Anolis sagrei: one gene and its partner. The protein of the gene in region 1 purifies or fractionates together with the protein of each later gene. This does not show direct contact. Links are inferred from orthologs where the notes say so. Each region holds a gene or a part of one and is shown in the gene's direction. Other genes may lie near its edges.

What was found. Proteins that work in one complex are often made in the same cells at the same time.
Region 2: the proteins of SLC6A15 (region 1) and GPAT3 purify together in Homo sapiens (co-immunoprecipitation; 3 studies listed by BioGRID and IntAct, counting the BioPlex papers as one, with this or other methods). This does not show direct contact. The link is inferred for Anolis sagrei from reciprocal best matches to the Homo sapiens genes SLC6A15 and GPAT3.

Annotation. Positions count from the first base shown.
Region 1 is NC_090025.1:150,856,950-150,860,549, reverse strand, and holds the start of SLC6A15 (sodium-dependent neutral amino acid transporter B(0)AT2), read left to right. Parts: upstream 1-862; 5' UTR 863-1,175; intron 1,176-3,600.
Region 2 is NC_090025.1:17,673,010-17,676,833, forward strand, and holds the start of GPAT3 (glycerol-3-phosphate acyltransferase 3), read left to right. Parts: upstream 1-1,340; 5' UTR 1,341-1,731; coding exon 1,732-1,875; intron 1,876-3,824. UniProt on the Homo sapiens protein: Converts glycerol-3-phosphate to 1-acyl-sn-glycerol-3-phosphate (lysophosphatidic acid or LPA) by incorporating an acyl moiety at the sn-1 position of the glycerol backbone.

The DNA of each region.
Region 1 (3,600 bases):
CCCAGAGCCCAGAGCCAAGTTTTGACTCTTACTAAACACTATGAGGGAGGGGGTTGCTCTGATATCACTAGGGAGGGAGTTCCACAACCGAGGGACCACCACTGAGAAGGCCCTGTCATACAGCCTGGAAACATCACAACAATCCAGTGATTCTGGCCATGAAAGACAATAGATTAAACCATGTCTTTGTTTTCTTTCTGCGAGCCAGTAGGGACAGAGTTCCAGAGCCAAGGAGCCACCACTGAGAAGGCCCTTACTCACTTTCTTGCCCTTTCTATTCCTCTCCACCCCATAGCGAGCTGCTCCAGAACGACCCACTCTTCTTCTAATGACAAGCTGGAGGTCTTCTCTTAGCATGCCCAACCTTTCCATTCCCAAAAACCTAGAGAGAGAGCAACTGAGAGTGCTAGAAAGAAGCTGAGTCCTCTTTCCGCATGGCACAACTCTGGCTGTCCAGGAACTGCCCTACCCTCCTATAGGTGTGTGCCAGGCGGGTACATCTCCTCCTGGTGCGCCTAACCTCTCCATTTCCAAAACCAGAAAAGGGCGGCGGGAGGGGGGAGACAGCAGCTTGGGTCCTTTGGCCACAGCATCTTCTCCCCCCAGGGCAAGTACACCGTGCCGCAGTCTCCCCTAGAAAGCCACAGGGTGGGGTTAGGCTGGGGACGGGAAAGGGGGCCTTGGGACCAGGGCTGTGGGCGCCAAGATGCGTGGAGGGGAGGGCTCGCTTTGTTCTCGGCGGAAAGCCTTGGTTCGCCTAGCGCGCCTCTCTTCCAAGGGTGGGGAGGGGGAGCCCCTTATCCTCTTGGTCTTGCCTAGAGGAGGAGGATGGAGGATGGATGGAGAGGCCGGCGTTGCAGGCTGCTCTGCGTCAAGGGAGGTGCGGCTCCCTCCGCCCTGCCTTTCCCCCTCCCTCCCTGCCTCCCTCCCTCGCTCCCTCCCGCCTTTCTCTCCGTCTTTAAACGCCCCTGCATCGGAAGCGCCGCGCACATGTACGTCTCTGTCCTCGCCACCTCCCAGAGCAGTACATAGACACACAAACACACACGCGCGCGAAAACCGCTGCCCCCTCTCCCTCCCCACAAAGCCATTGATCTTTCAGCTGGCCACATTGCGGGGACTGCGGGAGAGAAGAGCGAGTCGCCCAAGCCACGCTGGGCGCCTTTGGACAGAAGGTAAGGCTGGCGGGGTGCGGGTTAGGGGGGCTTCTAGCTCCTGACCTCCCGGGGAGAGGGAAAAGGTAGAGGATCATCGAAAGGGGGAAGCTTGCGAGTTTGCATTTATATATGAGTATGTGTGTGATGGGTGGGGTGCCTGCTTGGACACATCGGAGGCGAGGCAGCCTCGTGGTCGCCTGGACCACGCGCTCTCCAAGGAAAGGCCCCTCCATCCCACGAAAGGGGTCTATCCCAAGACTTGGAGGGGGGGGGGGTGCCTTCCTTCGTGGAAAAGGTGGGCAAGGATTGCCACCCGCTTGTCCGCGGAAGGAGGGGCCCGCGCGCCCGCGGCGTGGATGGAATTGACAAGTGGGTTGGTTGGGAACAAGGCCTGGGTTGGATAGGCAGCCAAATATGGGAGGCAAGGAAGGCCGAATGATCCTATATGGCTATGACAGGCAAGCAGTGCCACCCTACTTAGCAGACATGGCATAGAAAGGGCAATTGGTGGGGGGGGGGGGGGAGGTAAATAGGACTGGAGGGATAAGTTATTTGAGGAGAGGGATGTGGGGTCTTCATCAGCGCAGAAGGTGAGAGAGGCGCAGTGCTGTTGCTTCCTCCTCCTCGCTGGTCCAAAGAATGTGGCCTTCTCCTCTCGTGGTCCAGAGAACGTGGCCGCCTGAGGATGCAGAGAGCATCCTTCCCATTGGGATGCCTCCCCTGACACAGCAGGATGGAGGCATTCCAGGCAAGGAAGGTTTCAGGGAGGGGAAGAGGAAGGTGGAGGGAGGAAATCAGAAACATGTGGGTTAGTAGGATTTGGGGGCAGTCGAGCTGGAGATGCTCTGTGGCGGGTCCCCCTACCCCACGCATGGGCAGGCTTGTCGGATCGGCCTTGGGAGATCCCTCCAGCTCTTTCCAGGAAAGCGAGATCTCTTCCTCAGCGGCTTGTATTCTGAGGGGAGGGTGGAATCTTTCTCCAATGTTGCTCCTTTCTTCTTTTTTTTTCGTGGCATGTTTGCGTATGTAGCAAAGGAGACCAAGAACGTCAGCATTTGACACCCGAATGCTTGGTGGGCATGTTGGTTCCCCTTTTTGTATTGCATCAGAAGCAGAGCATTGCAGAGGCCTCAGTCCCATCACAACCCACGTTCCCAGTAGTTGAGGAGCCAACCCCTGGGGAAAATCCCATTCAGCACGTGAGCCTACTTTAGACCAGTGGTTCTCAACCTGTGGGTCCCCAGGTGTTTTGGCCTACAGCTCCCAGAAATCCCAACTAGTTTACCAGCTGTTAGGATTTCTGGGAGTTGAAAGCCAAAACATCTGGGGACCCACAGGTTAAGAAACACTGCTCTAGAAGATCCAGGCCTTCTACAGGGTAGAATGAATGCAGTTGGACACCACTTCCCATGGCTCAGTGCTATGGAAACCTGGGAGTTGGAGTTTGGTGAGGGCCCAGTGCATTTCTGGTTTTCTGATAAACCAGTTACTCATTGTACAAGGGACCCTTGGTGGCGCAATGGGTTAAACCCTTGTGGCAGCAGGACTGCTGACCAATAGGTCAGTGGTGCAAATCCAGGGAGAGTGGGTTGAGCTCCCTCTGTCAGCTCCAGCTCCCCATGTGGGGACATGTGAGAAGCCCTCTATAAGGATGGTAAAACACCAAACATCCGAGCATTCCCTGGGCAATGTACTTGCAGACAGCCAATTCTCTGATACCAGTAGCGACTTGCAGTTTCTCAAGTCACTCCTGATATAACAAAAATAGACATTCTTATACATTAATTCTGCCCTGTAGATGCACATTTTCCTCTCCCTCCACACGTGTATTGTGATTGTCTCCTTGCTTCTCCTGTTTGGCTAGAATCACAGAGTTGGAAGAGACCTCATGGACCATCCAGTCCAACCCCATTCTGCCAAGTACCAAGAAAACTGCCTTCAAAGCATCCTTGACAGATGGCCTTCCAGTCTGTTTAAATTCCTCCCAAGATGGAGCCTCCACCACACTCCGGGGTGGGGAGTTCCACTGTTGAACAGCTCTCAGAGTTAGGAAGTTCTTCCTAATGTTCAGGTGGAATCTTTCCTGTAGTTTGAAGCCATTGTTCTGCGTCCTGGTCTCCAGGGTGGCAGAAAACAAGCTTTCTCCCTCCTTCCTATGACTTCCCCTCACATATTGATACATGGCCCTCATCATGTCTCCTCTCAGCCTTCTCTTCTGAAGGCTAAACAGGCCCATCTCTTTAAGCCGCTCCTCATAGGGCTTGTTCTCCAGAACCTTGATCATTATAGTCACCCTTCTCTGGACACATTCCAGCCTGTCAACATCTCCCTTAAATTTGCAGTTCCCAGAATTGGACACAATATTCCAGGTGTGGTCTGACATGAAACCGGAGCAGTTTGTTATTTTGGTTTATGTAGTCGAGACTGATCCCCATTGAAAGGA
Region 2 (3,824 bases), about 130 Mb from region 1:
TTTGGGACCAGCCTACCTGCGTGACCGCATCTCCGTCTATGAACCCACGCATTCTCTTCGCTCATCTGGAGAGACTCTGCTCGCGATTCCACCTGCGTCGCAGGCGCGTTTGGTGGGAACGCGGGACAGGGCCTTTTCTGTGGTAGCCCCCTGACTTTGGAACACCCTCCCCCTACGTTGGCAGTCTTTAGAGCTTGAAGACCTGGCTGTTCCGATGTGTCTTTCCAGAATAGGAACTCCAGTAATATGCCCCAGAAGCACTTTATCAGAGTTTTAAGATTATCTGCACACTGCACTTACCCTAAATTCTGACATACCACCTATCACACCCAGCACATTTTAATATGTACCCATCACATTTAGCCCAGCCCTAGTTTTATTGTGTCGTGGTGTATTGTTTTTATTGTTTACTGCTATTGTTTTATTGTTTGATTTGCTTTAAGTTATGTGTTTTGTTATGCTGTTGTTTTATTGAGGCCTTGGCCTATGTAAGCTGCATCGAGTCCTTCGGGAGATACTAGCGGGGTACAAATAAAGTTAATAATAATAATAGTAATAATACTCCATCATGAGGAGACAGCAAAGCCTAGAGAAGACAATTATGCTGGGGAAAGTGGAAGGCAAAAGGAAGAGGGGCCAACCAAGGGCAAGATGAATGGATGGCATCCTTGAAGTGACTGGACTGACCTTGAAGGAGCTGGGGGTGGTGACGGCCGACAGGGAGCTCTGGCGTGGGCTGGTCCATGAGGTCACGAAGAGTCGGAGACGACTGAACGAATGAACAACAACAATTTTCAATAACATTAAAAGTTCAATAACAAAACATTACAGGGAAAATCAGCAGATTCTTAATCCATCTAAAACACAGAGCTGTGCTTAAGTGGCTGAGGGGGAAAAGGAAAGGGCCTGAGGCTGTTAGGAATGGTGGGAGTTGAAGTCCAAAACACCTGGAGGGTCGAAATTTGCCCTTGTCGGATGTAGATGCACCCTCTAGTAAAAAATGCTGGGGCTTCACCAAACTACAACTCCCATTCTTCTGTAGCATTGAGAAATGCCAGTAAAATTGATGCTGAACTGCATTTACAACAATGGAGCTGCACCCTGTATAATGCTTTTTTCTGCAGGCAGGCAGCAAATAGACTGGAGCACCATGGATTCTTTCCCCCTGTATCCGTTCGAAGCGAATGACAGGTCATCTTGAGATCACAATGCAGCCCTGAGCGAAGAATGGCAAAGGAAGCTCGAATGTATATGTGCCTCCCTCTCTCTCTCTATATACGGCATTAGTGGGAACCCCCCTGTATGGCTCAGCTTCGAAGGCGCACCCAAAGGCGCAGAGATAAGGCAAGGAAGGAGGAGAGGAGACGTCGCCTCTTTTAGGGATCAGAAAAGGATCCCGGAGGCGGGGAAAAGCCGCCACAGGATCGGATTTGCTCCGAAGGGGAGAGGAGAAGGAGTTAAAGGGGTGGAGCGACAGAAAGCCAGGGCGAGGAAGGAGGAAAGAAAGGGAGGAAGGAAGAAAGGAAGAGTGAGCTTTGGCGCAGGAGGGGCTCTTCGGGTCCAGTCCCTTTCCAGCGCGTTTGGGAACCAAAGGGGACTTTCCTCTTGCTTTTCTCCTGCCAAGGCTCAAGGGGAGGGGTTAGGGAGGGAGGGGGGAGAAGGGGCTCGGCCCTTGGTCTTCAGCGACCCCTTTTATTTGGGGGAAGGGGGCGGTTCCAGCCTTTCTCCAGGATGGAGAAGGTCTTGGCCATCGCCTTGGAGCTGCTCAGCGCCTGGTTCGCCTTGGCTTTCCTCCTCATCGTGCTGCCTTCCATCTTCGGCGTCTCCTTGGGCATCTCCGAGCTGTACCTCAAAGTCTTGGTGAAAACCTTGGAGGTGAGACCTTGGGGGAAAGGGGGCCGCCAAACAATAGGCCGGGAGAAGGGAGCAAGGTGTGTGTGTGACGTGCGTAACGCGTGTCTTTGAGTTGGCTCTCCAAGGTCTGCTGCCTGCCTGCCTGCCTCTCTTGTGCGCCCTGCTTCTTTCTGCTGACCCTCCTTGGCATGATTCAGCAGCAGGAGAGTCAAGACTCTTATTTCCCCCCCCTAGGAAGGTTTCCTTTCTCTTTTATCTGCTCAGGAGGCCAGGCAAGGGTTTGAAGCAAACAATGACAGCACTCTAGGAATCTTCCCACACCCTCCTCTTGAAATCCTGGATGCAGTTTGGCAGTTAACCACCACTGGCACGCCCCAAACGACAAAATAACAACAAGGCTGCATCTAGATCAGTCATGGGCAAACTTGGGCCCTCCCTCCAGGTGTTTTGGACTTCAACTCCCACCATTCCTAACAGCCCCAGGCCCTTTCATTTCCCCCCTCAGCTGCTTAAGAGGAGATTTGGCATTTCTTCAGAGGCTAAGAAAGTATGATTTGCCCAAGATCTTGCAACATGCATTTGAACCTTGGTCAGCAGAGTGGTCGTCCAGTGCTCAAACTACTACTAACCGCTGTGGCTCCTAACCCTTTAGACCTCTGTTCCTCAACCTTCCTAAAGCCGTGCCCCCTTAATGCAGTTCCTCACGTTGTGGTGACCCCCAACCTGGGGCGGCTCAACCCATTATGCAAAGTAAGCAGTTGCAGTATAGTTGATTTTGCCCAGGGGCACTCTTGGGGGAAAATAGACCTTGACATATGTGAGTTGTAGTTACTGGGATGTATAGTTCACCTACAATCAAAGAGCATTCTGAACTCCACCAATGATGGAATTGAATCAAATATGGCACACAGAACTCCCACGACGAACAGAAAATATATATCAGTGATTGGTTGAGGGGAGGGGGGGGAGGGGAACGCCAAAATACTGTTTGCTTACCATTGAAAATTACCTAGGGCTGCCTCTGCCCCCAACCATAAAATTATTATGTTGCTACTTCATAAGTGTAATTTTGCCACTATTATGAATCGTAATGTAAATATCTGATATGCAGGATATATTTTCATTCACTGCATGAAATTTGACACAGATACTCGATACGCCCAAATTTGAATATTGGTGAGGTTGAGTGGGATTGATTTTGTCATTTGGGAGTTGTAGTTGTTAGTAAACCTACATTGAAAGAACATTCTCAACTCCACCAATGATGGAATTGAACCAGGCTGACACACAGAACTCCCATGACCAACAGAAAATACTGGAAGGGTCTGGTGGGCATTGACCTTGAATTTTGGAGTTGTAGTTCACCTACATCCAGAGAGTACTGTGGACTCAAACAATTATGGTTCTGGTCCAAACTTGGCACAAATACTCAATATGCCCAAATGTGGAGATTGGGGAAAATAGATCTTGACATTTGGGACTTGTAGTTGCTAGGGTTTATAGTTCACCTACAATCAAAGAGCATTCTGAACCCCAACAACGATAGAATTGGGCCAAACTTCCTACACAGAACTCACATGACTAACAGAAAATACTGTGTTTTCTGATGGTATTTGGCAACCCCCCCCCCCAGGAGTCCCAACCCCCCAGGTTGAGAAACCCTGTTTTAGACCCACCTTTTAAATTATTACTTATTACTTACTTATTTGTGATATTTGTATACCACCCTTCCCAAGCCCGAAGGGTATTTTTTTGTGTTGACTCCCTTGCTGAAAATTGTCTAACTACATTCCTGCTCCTCAAGTTGTTTGGACCGGACTATAACAATGCTTATGAAAGCAATGGGAAACACAGGGTGTATCTAACTAATGCAGTTTGACAGCACTTTAACTGCCATGGCTTCATGCTGTGGAATCTTGGGAGTTGCACTTTTACAACACAGTTGTCAAACTCAAGGCCTTCAGGCCAAA